Oryzias latipes: one gene and its partners. The protein of the gene in region 2 binds, or shares a complex with, the protein of the main gene of each other region. Links are inferred from orthologs where the notes say so. Each region holds a gene or a part of one and is shown on either strand. Other genes may lie near its edges.

What was found. Proteins that work in one complex are often made in the same cells at the same time.
Region 1: the proteins of pcna (region 2) and zranb3 are in contact, whole or in part, in a crystal structure (PDB 5YD8), measured with the Homo sapiens proteins. The link is inferred for Oryzias latipes from reciprocal best matches to the Homo sapiens genes PCNA and ZRANB3. Residues at the interface, in NP_002583.1 of Homo sapiens: Met40, His44, Val45, Ser46, Leu47, Gln125, Leu126, Gly127, Ile128, Pro129, Asp232, Val233, Pro234, Tyr250, Leu251, Ala252, Pro253; in NP_115519.2 of Homo sapiens: Asp1071, Ile1072, Thr1073, Phe1075, Leu1076, Val1077.
Region 3: the proteins of pcna (region 2) and pold4 are in contact, whole or in part, in a crystal structure (PDB 6HVO), measured with the Homo sapiens proteins. The link is inferred for Oryzias latipes from reciprocal best matches to the Homo sapiens genes PCNA and POLD4. Residues at the interface, in NP_002583.1 of Homo sapiens: Met40, Ser43, His44, Val45, Ser46, Leu47, Val123, Glu124, Gln125, Leu126, Gly127, Ile128, Pro129, Gln131, Tyr133, Asp232, Val233, Pro234, Tyr250, Leu251, Ala252, Pro253, Lys254, Ile255; in NP_066996.3 of Homo sapiens: Lys4, Arg5, Leu6, Ile7, Thr8, Ser10, Tyr11, Pro12, Val13, Val14, Lys15.

Annotation. Positions count from the first base shown.
Region 1 is NC_019860.2:17,688,941-17,693,280, reverse strand, and holds the start of zranb3 (DNA annealing helicase and endonuclease ZRANB3), read right to left. Parts: upstream 3,101-4,340; 5' UTR 2,852-3,100; coding exon 2,840-2,851; intron 435-2,839; coding exon 262-434; intron 1-261. UniProt on the Homo sapiens protein: DNA annealing helicase and endonuclease required to maintain genome stability at stalled or collapsed replication forks by facilitating fork restart and limiting inappropriate recombination that could occur during template switching events.
Region 2 is NC_019867.2:6,551,315-6,555,908, reverse strand, and holds pcna (proliferating cell nuclear antigen), read left to right. Parts: upstream 1-1,663; 5' UTR 1,664-1,905; coding exon 1,906-2,126; intron 2,127-2,343; exon of another isoform or gene 2,344-2,773; coding exon 2,774-2,871; exon of another isoform or gene 2,872-2,960; intron 2,961-2,966; coding exon 2,967-3,034; intron 3,035-3,053; exon of another isoform or gene 3,054-3,109; coding exon 3,110-3,304; intron 3,305-3,386; coding exon 3,387-3,510; intron 3,511-3,584; coding exon 3,585-3,661; 3' UTR 3,662-4,008; downstream 4,009-4,594. UniProt on the Homo sapiens protein: Auxiliary protein of DNA polymerase delta and epsilon, is involved in the control of eukaryotic DNA replication by increasing the polymerase's processibility during elongation of the leading strand.
Region 3 is NC_019859.2:1,163,340-1,167,692, reverse strand, and holds pold4 (DNA polymerase delta subunit 4), read left to right. Parts: upstream 1-1,253; 5' UTR 1,254-1,387; intron 1,388-2,644; 5' UTR 2,645-2,712; coding exon 2,713-2,818; intron 2,819-3,243; coding exon 3,244-3,327; intron 3,328-3,601; coding exon 3,602-3,713; intron 3,714-4,037; coding exon 4,038-4,062; 3' UTR 4,063-4,199; downstream 4,200-4,353. UniProt on the Homo sapiens protein: As a component of the tetrameric DNA polymerase delta complex (Pol-delta4), plays a role in high fidelity genome replication and repair.

The sequences.
Region 1 (4,340 bases), on a different chromosome or scaffold from region 2:
CGTGTTTTAAGTGAAACAGCTAAAGCACACATCTGAAAAGATTGAAAATCTTAGGGAGCAGATGATTGGGTTTGTGAAAGACGCCTTAACTGCTCTTAAATGTAAAAAAAAAATACATATTCGTAACAAGGTGTGTAAAAATAGCCATCAAAACATACTTTTTTATGTTTGGCAGCCTGACAAAGTCTCTTCACGGACAAAACAAACAGTTTTCAAACTAAACCCCGTTCCAAAGAGTGTCTGAGCTGCAGAGATGCTCACCGTCCGTTCAGAGACAAGGCGAACTCCACACCCTCTCTTTGGAAGGGCATCAGACGCTGCAGGAGCTTGTTAGGAAGTCCTGACAGTTGCTGTGACCATCTTCCAGCCCGGCAGGAGCTCGATCCGCCATCATCCGCCATCTCGACCGGTGAGTGGTCCTCGGGCGGATCGGACTTTTAAAATGAAAAATAAGGTAAACTTCATTAATAAATGTTCCCAAAGTAATCCTCATAATTGGGTACAGACAGAATTAACAATAAAACAGGGGGGGGGGGACATTTATTTCTAAGACGGGGAAGAAAAATGTCCACCTTAAACCCAAATTCTAGCATTTAAAATTTTAATTTAGTTCAACTTTATTTTGTATGCACTTTTCCTGCTACAAACACAACAAAATAGCAAAGATAGTAAAAATAATAAAAATAAATAAAACCTCATAAACACCCAACACATACAAGAAAAGATGTAAAACAGCAAGAGGGCTGGCCCTCAGAAGTATTATTGAAAGATGTCCTGTTAAATGTATCAAACTGTATTCATATGCACTCAAACATAAACATCCTCCATGTTTTACTGATGTTGCTGCACTAAAAATAACATTTTTATTAGCAAGTGACCGTTTTTCCAGCTTCTTAAAGTCCCACTCCGATCATCCTTTCATCTATTTTCAAAATGGTTTTTATTTATGATTATGCCGTTTTTAGCCAAAAATCTGTGTCATTTTTTAGGACATAGTTACTGCAGAGCAGCAGGAGTATATTAAAAATTCCCCTCTGAGTTGTGGACTGTTGGCACCAAGAAGCAGCCCCATTCCCTCTCCCCGTCAACCATAACTATGAGCTCTCTGTTTACGCACTTACCCACTCGCTAACAGCCCCTCACACCCCCAACCTAATGTCACAAACATTTGCAATGGATGCATCAGAAGGGAGTGAATTGAAGTTTGTACATAAGAACTACAAGCTTTTTCAAACATCGTTTTATTGTCTGTTCCTGATTCACAGCAATTTTAATTAAAAAATACTCAGAAATAATATGTAAAGCTTAATATTCATTAAATATGTCCTTCATCGTCAGAGAAATGTCACAAGAACATGTTAAAAACACCAAGAACACAATTGTTTTTTTAATCAGAGTGGGTCTTTAAGGGTATTAATATGTCTCATGCAATATTAACTAAAAGTCAGACTCAATGTGGAACCAGGCGTGCGACTCCGAAGCGGCCTTGGAGCGTCTGAACTTCCATCAGAGAAATGTCGGATGTAAACACTGCTATCAGCTGTTATCCATACTGAAGACACCATCCTTCATAAAAAGCACACCACAGATCTATCAGAAAAATTAAAAGCATTTTTACTTTTTCCTTGTAGGGTTGATAGTTTTACTGCAATGAGTCAAAATTCCAGAACCACAAACAAAACAAAAATCTAAATATTTTCTTTATCATCTTCAACCTGTGGAAATACTGTACTACTGAATTTTACATATTTAAAAATATTTTTGCACATATGTGCACACCAACAATAAACTAAAATATAAATCGGAATCAACTTATTCCATAAAAATACTTTAATTATACAGATATGCAGATGAAAGTTGAAAAGGTGTAAAAACTACAGCTGTATATGACAATAAAATGTAAAACAGAAAAGAGGGAAAGATTAAAGAAAGAAAACAAAATACATCCTTAAAGTATAATCTCACAAAATCAAGCGAGAACTTAAATTAGGGCCATCTTTTCTCAATCCTGTCATCAATCAGTGTAATTAGTTTGAGGCCAGGGTTATTTGTCTATGTCCAGTGATTATATGAGAAGCACAAAGTCATTTTTAGAAAGTTTGGAATCTTGCTGTAGATTAAAAATAGTTGAATGTAAAGTAAAAAGCTCTCTAAATATGATTACTTAAATCAGATTTAAAAAATAAGTGTTCTTAGTGTCCATTATGAAGCCAAATAAACGATTGAAAACAAAGACATAAAAATACAATTTAAAAAAATATTTAAAAGTCCAGGTTTTCTGTGTTAAAACCTACCTTCTAGGCAATACTTTGCAAAACCAGCCAGTTTTTCTTAGTTTAAATATCTGCTAGCATGGCCAAAGACAATCTTAAATATGTATGTATTGATATGTAAAAAAAAAAAAAAAAAAAAGATTGAGATTATTGAGATACTGGAGAAAAGAAATCAGATTATGCCGCAAAAATTTAAACGCAGAACAAGTTGTGACGTCATCCAAAAGAAGTTGTATGGCTGACGGAAAGCAGCAGAGACCAAAATTAGGAGAAAAACTGTTACATTTTAACAACTACAATGAAAATAAGTGCAAAAACAAAAATACATAGGGCTTAGTAAGTAGTTAGAAGTTAAGAGGAGGAAACTATGAGGTTAAAGTTCATAAATGTGGTGTTCAATGTTAAAGAAGACACATGCTTGAACTTAAAATGCTCTTAAAATGAGTAAAGTTATAACAAAAAGGTTGATTTGTTAAAAATGTTTTAGTCTAAAGGGCCAATGTTATGATGACGGCCATGTTTTAACACGAAGAGGGTATGTTTGTAAAAAACGAACAGGTTCCTACCCGCTGAAACATCAAAAAGCTGCCTGGGACTTCAAGTTTCCGTCGCTTTCCCTCAGCCTTTATAATTCTAGCTACATTTGCACTAACATGTCTTAAAGTACCAACGAAATAACTTTCATTTCGCTCTGGGACGATGCGAAACAAATGACGACACCGTCAGAAGCCGCCAAAAAAAAAATCTACGTCCAGACGTGACATATTTTTAACAGCCCGCGTGCCGAGCGTGAGGCGCTGACGCACGAGCAGCCCCGCTGTGTCTCTCCTTCACTCCGCCGCAAACAGCGGCTGCTTCCTTCACCCTCCGCCAGATCAACGGCTGTTCACCTATAACAAAGCGGTAAGCCCACGTCAGAAAACCCCCGCACAACCGTCACGAAAAAAAAAAAACCCGGTCAGTTTTAGCCACTGGGTCGGCAGACAAACCTGACTTTGCGGCTGTCACGGCACCCTTTGCCGGCCGCTTTAGGTCGTTAGCCAGGTAAGAGTCGTTAGCTTAGCACCGACCGACTAACCTCGCTCTCCGACTTATTAAGTTGCCTTTTCAAATACAAACCTCCATCTAAAGCGCATTTAAACTCTGAAAGTCGTAGCTTAATTCGGCGTTTTGATGAAAAAAAAAACAACCTTTTCATATAAATAGGACTTAATTAATTAACATTTAGGCCTGCTTCGACTGTCTTGAGCTGCAGCGGAAAGTATGCTAATGTATGCAACTCCACCGGCCTAATAAGTGTCGTTTTTTAGTGTTTAATTGCAGTTCAAATCATATTTTTCATAAGCCGAATCTAAGATAAATTGATATACTAGAGTGTCGATGTGTTATAATTTGTAATTTGGGTTTGTAGAGTCGAAGAAACGAAGACAAAGTGAAACTACTACGTTTGTAAAGGGAGATTGGCGCAATGGAATAGCGAACAAAACATGCCTTAAAAGCACATTTTTAGCACTTCAGTAAACGTTTGTGTATACGATTTTTTTAATGTTGGGGTTATTTAAGCCCCAAGTATCCTGAGAACATGAAATAAAAAAATAAATTTAAAAAAATCAAGCTGCTGTGGGCAGGGCCGGCCCTGGTCTTCTGGGGGCCCTAAGCGAAATTTTATTTGTGGGCCCTCTAACTGATCTGCAGCACCAACAAAGCGCAACTGTTGTTGTAATATAAATGAAATATCTCCATTAATACATTTGTGAATTATTGTTGCTGCCGAAGAATTGAATACAGTATATTGCCTGCATGTTGGATGCACATTTAGTGGTGCACAACAAATTTTAAATGCAAAGAAATAAATATGAATGACAAAGGCATATAGATATATATTTTTTAATGTAACATTAGGCACTCAACAAATGACATTCACAAAACTCCAACTTATTTAAAACAGCAACTTAACAGAAAATCAAATAACGATAAAAAAATCCAACATAAAGAACACAACAGCTCAATGAGGGGGATTTTGGAAAGTCATAGTCTTTCTCAGTCTGAAAAGGACCTCTCTGCACC
Region 2 (4,594 bases):
GAGCATTAAAAGTATTTGGAAAAAGCTTCTTTTTTTTTTAAACTTCCTGTTGTTCGTGTCACATCAAGAACTGCACATTGCCTAATAAAGGTTTTTACAGCAACTTTATTGTTCAGATTGGTTTATTTTGAAGAGTAGTGTCACTAATTTTGGAACAACTCTTGTATGAGGAAGCACAGATAAATATATATAAAAATGGCAGCTCAGAAGCTGAACCAGTGACCTCAAGAATGTTTGAGGTGTTTTTACTTTCATTAAAACAGCACTGAGACAATGCCAAAGAAAATACTGGTGAAGAAATTACATTTCCTGAGTGTAATTTTATATATAAAATTAGTTTTGAATCTGTGTGTCAGCTTTTCTTATTTATTAAAATGCAAATTCCACATAAAACATCAAGCAATCATTGACAACATCCATGAGGTTAAAGTAGTAAAAAGAAACTTGATGCTCCATACATTTAAACTAGTCATAATCGGTGTTAACAAAGTCTGTATTGTTCAGTAAGATGTTGGAGTCAGTGGAAAGTAAAATTGATACTTTCCACTGTAAAGGTTTGCATCTTTAAGACTCAGGAGCAGAAGGTGTAAAAAAAGGGGCAGAATATTTGCTCCAGTGATAATATTAAAAATTAAGCAAATAAAATAAATGTGAAGATGAAGTTTTACTGATGTTTTGGATATACTTGATTAAAAAAATTTTTTTAACTTTTCTTACTCAGCAAAATTCTATTCTTCTCAATATATTCTCATCAATATAAACATAAAAAGAAAACTGGAAAGGATAATCAGCTGTGTCATAGAAAATCATTCAATTTCACTCTTTTGGTCTAATTGGTCTAAAAAAAACATTTACAATTGCCAGAATATCAGCTCTGCTTTCATCCAAACATGAAATATGAAAAATCATACAAAAAATTTGTCTTCGTGTTTATTTGATTCTTATTCAAGACTCTTTGATGAGAATGCGTATTGTTAATGCAGTCGAAAGAGTTTTAGTGTGTGTGTGAGTGATGGTGGTGTGCCTTGGGATTTTGATAAGAGGACTTTGGCCCGAGACAGTCTGAATATTATGCATTATGCTTTAGTAACATCATTTAAACGTTTATCTTTTTGTTTTGTACATTTGTAAATGATGCAATTTTCTTAAAACAAACATATGTGTAAAACATGAGACAAATTAATATTATTCAGGCATTCAATGTTACAAATGTACAACAACTCCATATATTGATCAACATTAGGAGCTTATTTCCTCAGATTTAATTAATATAGTAACTAGTGTCATTTTTGCAGGACATCTGATGACTTAAGAAAACTCTTCTCACTTTATTTTAAGAGTATTATAATCTACCACACCAAACAAGAGAAAACATTTATTTAACCAGTGTTTTGTTAAGAATGAGGTCACTTTCTTTTAAAAACAAAAACAATTAGACCTTTTAATTTCATTCTAAAATATTTTTGTAATATTTTTAAAAGTCAGAAATATTCCCAATTTGTATTAAAAACTACGGGAATATGTTTTACATGCCCAAAATGTGAAAATAATTCTTTTCAACAAGCAGATTCCTTTTTAAATCTCTAAACAAAAATGTTTTTGCAGATTTGCATCCAGCTTCCGTTTTATTGACGGAAGTGTGTCACACGTCCGGAAATGACGCAACGACGCAGCGTTATTAAACAACAGGCGTTTGCGCGGGCTTCCAGCTCAAATCTTGTGGTTGTTGTAGAAGACGCGTCTGTAGCCCGCGTGCCACACAAAGACTGAACTGCCAAAGCCGCTTTGTCATCGCCTACGTCGTGATTACTCCTCACTGCAGCCTCCTTTTACCGGAGCAGCGCTGAAAACCTCCACCAACCTTTGCCTTCTTTTTCGATCTACGCAACCCTCCACAGAATAACCATGTTTGAGGCTCGCCTGGTCCAGGGCTCCATCCTGAAAAAGGTCCTGGAAGCCCTGAAGGATTTGATCACAGAAGCCTGCTGGGACGTCAGTTCGTCCGGCATCTCTCTGCAGAGCATGGACTCGTCTCACGTATCCCTGGTGCAGCTCACTCTCCGGCACGACGGCTTCGACTCTTACCGCTGCGACAGAAACCTCGCCATGGGAGTCAACCTTAGCAGGTGACGGGGAGAAAAACAACAAAGTTTAATAAGAGGGAAGCTTCGTGTATAATCTGCATGTCATGTGTTCTGCCTATTAAATGTATTTAAAGTGATTATCAGGGGCTGACTTCAAGTTCAGACATTTACGAATTGTTCATGGTAATCGTGTGTGGCGCCAAAATCATCTTGGACGAGTGAAACGTCGATCGTTGTGAGGCCGACAAAGGAGGCCATCTTGCTGGAGAAGCCCGGGCATGTCTCCCTGCTCGGTTAACTCTTTACTGTCCACTCGCTGATTTCAACCAGCAAAAAAACAAAACGTCTAAAACGTTGACATGTGCAAATATGTCTTTGCGCTGTCACAGAGCCGCACTTGCTGCGGTACTTTAGCGCCAAAACTCTTGCCGGCAGTGTTGGCGGGAATCCTCAAAACCCGGGAACTTGCACTTCCGCTTACGTCACTCTTTCATAAGAGTTTCCGGAATTAGATTAGCATGTTGATACAAATACTTGGATCATTTTTTTTAAACATACCACGTTATCGTTTTTAAAATAAATTTACTTCAAACATAGTACTTTATACTTATAGATTAAAAGGTGACATTAATAAAAGCTAAATTTTTGCTATTCAAATAAAAGCTCAAATGTTTTACTGCTTTTCTCAGTATGTCCAAAATCCTGAAGTGTGCGGGAAATGAGGACATCATCACCCTCAGAGCGGAGGACGCCGCTGACACTCTGGCTCTTGTGTTTGAGACCATCAGTAAGTTTCTAACTGTTCGTCATACGGAAACTGTTCATCTGATGAAAATCCTCCAAAGTCTTTATGCTCCTTTTCACTTTTCTGTGTTCCTGCAGACCAAGAAAAAGTTTCAGATTATGAAATGAAGCTGATGGACCTGGATGTGGAGCAGCTGGGCATTCCAGTAGGTATTTTTTAATTACCTCTTCTGCAGTATTTCCCAGCATTCCCTGATCTTCACTTTCTTTGCTCCTGTCAGGAACAAGAGTACAGCTGCGTGGTGAAGATGCCCTCCGGGGAGTTCGCCCGTATTTGCCGTGACCTGTCGCAGATCGGCGACGCCGTCATGATCTCCTGTGCCAAAGACGGTGTTAAATTCTCCGCTTCGGGAGAGCTGGGCACGGGAAACATCAAGCTGTCCCAGACCAGCAATGTGGACAAAGAAGAAGAGGCCGTAAGTATGAGGGGTGGATCTGTCCTGCAGAGGAAAATCGGTTTGTTTTGACATCGTTTTGTAACTTCCCGCTTTCCTTCAGGTCACCATTGAGATGAATGAACCCGTCCAGCTGATTTTTGCTCTCAACTATCTGAACTTCTTCACCAAGGCCACTCCGCTGTCAAAGACTGTAACCCTTAGCATGTCTGCTGATATCCCCCTTGGTAAGGTGGCTTACGTTGTGTGTCCGTCATCACACCTGCTGAAGCTCGACCTCATCACATTTATCTGTTCACAGTGGTGGAGTACAAGATTGCCGATATGGGACACATCAAATACTACTTGGCCCCGAAGATCGATGAGGAAGCTTCTTAAGTTGGAAGCACAGACCGAAAAGGGGGGAGAATGCAGGTGATGGATGACTGGGACTCCTCCTGAAGGACTGAAGGGATCTTACTGTGGTGAACTGTGGTCACTCTGAGGTTCCTGGGCTCAAAATGAAGTCCAGGGACGCTCAGAGTAGCTGGCAGACACATCTGTCGTAGTTTCCAGCAATTGTTTTAGGCCTGTTCTCTCCCTCTTTTTATCCCGTTTGTTTGCAGGTATCCATTCTGTTGTAGATAACACCTCTGTAAATAATTCCTGTGGCGTCACACTGCAAGCTCCAAATGTTTTGTACTCATAAATTCAATCGGAAATAAAGGATTCAAGTTGTTAAAAAACGTTGTTTGCTGTCCACTTTATAGTTTCACTAGCAAACCTTTAATAAGTGCACATGTGTGTGGGTCAAACTTCAGATATTTTTGTTATTTTTCATCTGTTGGTATGCAATTCAAATAGATTTTATTTTTTGCTCCTGTCCCAGAGGAAAAGATGTGTAACCAGAAAACGCCCATTGGGTGGTGCTATTCCCCCTTTTTAAGGTAGAAGAGGTTTCAACGTGACCAAAAAATCAGCTTTTCAGCATGAGATATTCCAGGTTATCCACAGTGTTAGGTTGAGCTTTACAGTACAGTGAACAAAAAAGCAGCTCACTTTGATGGTCTGATTGGGATTTAACCACATAATCTGAGTTCTGAGCCTGCTTTCAGAGAAATTACATCCCACAGCATTATTAAAGTGGACCACCTTCAAATGAAACAAAGATAATCTACATATTCATGCAAATACATCAGACTGTGGGTCTGTTAAGTTCTGTTAGTTTTGCCTTGAATCTGCGTGAATATTTTAATGACATGCTGTTTTTGACGCGCAAATCAATTTCCTTTGCATGTTTTATTGCTTGTTTTAATTATAACAATCTTAACC
Region 3 (4,353 bases), on a different chromosome or scaffold from region 2:
AGGTTAGACGTGATGTAGTGCAGGGATCATCAAGTTAGCAGCTGTTAGGACTTTTTTGTGCTACGGCTCACCTGAGACCTTTAACGTTTGATCTTTTATGAGGAGAAACTGAAATCCATGAACTGTACATGTCAAATTTCTGTGAACCCAGCTCACGCATACATACCAGTACCATGCCAGACAAAAGCTGATGTGAACTATGCGAGTGGCGCTCGCGGACCCCCCAGCGAGGGTGTGAGGAAGCAGCAGCAGCAGCAGCAGCTGATGTTCTCCAAGTCTGACATTTCACAGCCGCATCAGGGATTCCAAAGGGAACCGTCAAGTTCCTCTCTGAGCCTTTACCTCCACATACAAGTTTTTTTAATGGCATGTTGTTGTTTTTCCACCAGAACCAAACTGTCCTCACCGTGTCGAGGCTTTATTGCATCACTACACGCACACAATCCCCGAAACACAAACGCACATCCAGACGGATCACATGGAAGTGTTCTGACATGGAAAATGGGAGATTAATGGACAGACACATCAGAGGAGAACCAATCAAACTGCTTTTTATTGATTTTGACATTCAGGACCAGAGAAGTAGAGAAAGAGGAAACCGGCGGCGGTCCCCCCGGCGGCGTCCTTCCAGGCAGCCATCATTAGGGGTTGACCTCCAGCCACATTCCCACCGTCTTCGCTGTAGAGTCTTTTACTAAGGGCAGACCGCAGAGATCACGCCGCTGCATCGTCCTCCTGGGTCTGTAAGTTAATGGGCCTCTACAGGAAGACGGCGTGTCTTCTGTTCACTGATGGATGGATTGAGGTTTGAGAGAAGTTTGCTGCTTTTTGCCAGACTTCGTTTGTTTTTTAAGTGTGAGTGCATCTTCTAATGGCATATTATTGTTTAAGTGCATCTCTGTCATCTTTGACCCGCTGAGGCATTTCAAAGTGCTTCACAAAACCCCATAAGCTTTGCACCACACCCAAAAATTCTATAAAAGTCATTTTTACTAAACTGCAGGGACAGCAACCGGCTAAAGGCAGACTTTGCAGCTTTCAAACAGTTTCTGAGGACTGTAACATGTCTACGAAGAAGAAAAAATTATCTTTAAAAATTCAAGATAAAATTTTATATAGATAATAACTCCTGATGTGTTTTTATTGGTTCGTTTCATGTCATTTCGTTTCATTCTTGCATCAGACCGTTTGCGTCAGTGTGGTAAACTGCTGTTCAACAGTCGCCGGCAGGGGGCAGCAGAGGCGCGCGGCGCTCCAACTGGTCAGAAACACGAAGAAGAGCGCGCGCCGTGGCCGTCATTGTTTTGGTCCTCCGCCCTGCTGCTTTCTGCAAATCTGTTAAAGAGGAATAAATATTCACGGAAATCTTTTTGTTCTCCAAAATCAGGTGAGTTCATTTCGTATTTGTTCGGTTTTCTGAGCACTCTGTTGGCGCAGGCGCACTACAGTACCGTGTTTAGTCAAAAGTGAAAGCATATTATTTTCCTGCAGATTTCATCATAAAAACATTTAGTTTTTAAAATGAAATATATTTGGGACATTAAGGTCTGATAATGTTTCATAGATAACTGCGGTTAAGGTGTAATTACGTGTTTAGACTGTCCGTAAAGCTGTAATAAAGGCTCGAGCAGGTAAAGGGGCGTGGCTTCAGACTACATTCCACTTTTGAAAAAAGTCAAACTTGTTTTATTAGAAAAACTTTTACGAAAACCTTATAATAAACGTAGGGAGATGTAATAAGTCCTCATGCATAAGCAGACAGACTCCATCAAACTTTAAATCATCAGGAATTTCTGTTTGTTTGATTTTTATCTTTGATTAAAAAATAAGAAATTCCTAAATGTGTTTGAGTTCAACGAACATCACCTACTGAGTTTTCCTCCATAGCAGCATTTTAAAATGTCGTTCAGAGCAGCAGGATCACAAAGATGAACTGGATCCTAGAAGAAAATACAGATGACTGCATGTTTTTGGTTAATTTGTCTTCATTTTTGTGCTTTTCTGACCAACTTTAACCTGTTAATTCTAAAAGGAGAACAATTTAAATCACTTTAGGTGCAACCTTTGTGAAGAGGAGCCAGATTTATGCTGCTTTCTCAGCAGCCATACTATAATAAATGCAAATGAGTATTTTCATGTCTTCACAGAGAACAGATCTAAATATGTTTTTACCTAAATGACTGTGAATGTTTATGAATGTTTATATTTGAAGACCAGAGATGAAAAAGTCTGTCTGGAAAATTTTGGTCAACATTAAATCTGAATTTCTATGAAATGTTACAAACGATTCACTATTTCCAACATAAGTCACATGAATCTAAGTTATTCAGAAGTTCAAATCATTTTGGTTTAGATCTCAGAAACAATAAATCTCCTCGTTTGGCTCTGAAGCTCAAGCAGCTGCAGGTTGTTGGTTTTAACCAATCAAAATCCAGAAATCCTCAACCTTAGAAAGTTCTGAAGATTTTTATTGATTTAATGACAGGAGCCTGCAGAACGGGCTGCATATGGCGCTTGGTCCGGACTTTGGACATGCCTGCTGTAGACCGTTCTGTCCTGCTTCTGGAGGAATCATAAAGAAACTGATTGTGCAATAATTCTGTGAGATGAGGTATTACTCAAATGGACGAGTAATCTGTTACAGGTAGAGTAACTTGCAGGACGCTGTCATCGTCTCTGTCTGCAGCTGCATCATCGGTACAGCCGGTCACCATGACAACCAAGCGGGGACTCATCACTGACTCCTTCAAGGTGGTGAAGAAAAAGAAGAGAGAAAGGAAGCAGGAGAAGAGCCCCACGCCGCCCCCCCCTCGGACAGGTGGGGATCCTCCGGGTGTCCGCTGATGTGCGCGCCGTGCACGAGCCACGCGGCGTGCACGAGCCACGCGGCGTGCACGAGCCACGCGGCGTGCACGAGCCACGCGGTCACAGAAAGGTCACCTGAGGTCACAGAAAGGTCACCTGAGGTCACAGAAAGGTTACAGGAGGTCACAGAAAGGTCACCCCGGGTCACTGAAAGGTTACAGAAGGTCAAGAGTCCCATGAAAAGTGTCTCCTCCTCTGTCAGAGGGCTGTAAAAACGTGTTCTGTTTCTCTGAGTACAAAAACAGACGAGTATTGAAGAGACAAACTGTAAATGACATAGAAATAGAATCTTTACAGACATAATTATAAAGAGACATTAAAAAATAAATTCTACCTTTCAGGACTTTTTTGTTTGAAATCCGTTTTCTGCTTTTGCAGAAAATGTTGCAGACACCGTCCAGCAGGAGGCGCTGCAGAAGCTCAGAGACTTCGACTTGGAATTGAGATTTGGGCCGTGCACAGGTATGGAAGCAGATGGGGGGGCACGCCTTCAGTTTGCAGCTGGAGCAGCACTGGGGGGGTGGGGGGGTGGGGGGGTCTGGTTGATCTATAGGAAGCAGATCTAAACGTGTCTGCCGGACTTTGCTCCAGCCTCTAGAGATCACAGGAATGCTTTCATGTTAAATAATTAAACCTACTTTCCTCACATTTGACCTGAAATGGGAAGAAAAGAGACGGTTTTGGGGGAGCATCTCCTCTTGGAGGGAGGAGTGCAGCTTTCCTTCTCTGTTTTCAGGGATCAGTCGTCTGCAGAGGTGGGAGAGAGCAGAGCTGCACGGCCTGGACCCCCCCGAGGAGATCAGGGAGCTGCTGCTGAAAGCCCCCGCCGACCCCGAGTACAGCCTGAGGTGACACGTCCTGAAAAAACACACACTGTCCTACTGTTACGGCCAGCTCGTCTGCAGGCGGGTCACAGGAGTCCGGGTCACAGGAGTCCGGGTCTCAGGAGTCCTGGCAGAACCGCAGCGGCTCCTGAAGATGATCAGGAAGAAAATGCTTCTAAATGTTGAAATCCGGCTTTTCCACGTTCAAATAATGCAGACTTTCTCTAAAAAACGGAGATGATGCACTAAAAACTCTGACATCAGGGATGATTTTTAAAACTCTTTAATCTCAGACACAGATTTTTATCTTCTTTAAAAACTCTGACTCTTCATCTCCTTTATTTTCAGCCTGTGGAGCGAATATCCTTTGTGAGTCTGGAGGAGGAGGAGCCAAAGCCTGCAAAGTTCCACCTTTTTACGCCGTTTATCATCATAATGATCATGTTTCTGCATCACAACACGTTCTGTTTTTATGGACCGGTTCTGTTTTATTAAACAGGTTCTGCTGATTCTCTGGCTGCCTATGTTGTTGGGGGGGGGGGGGGGGGGGGGGGGGGGGGGGCTCTTCAGGTAATGTCACCTGCTGAATGTTTGGTATTAGAATCTGGAGGTGGGCAATAACACACAGATCCAAGCACCGTGTGATGGAAGCCACGGGCTCCAC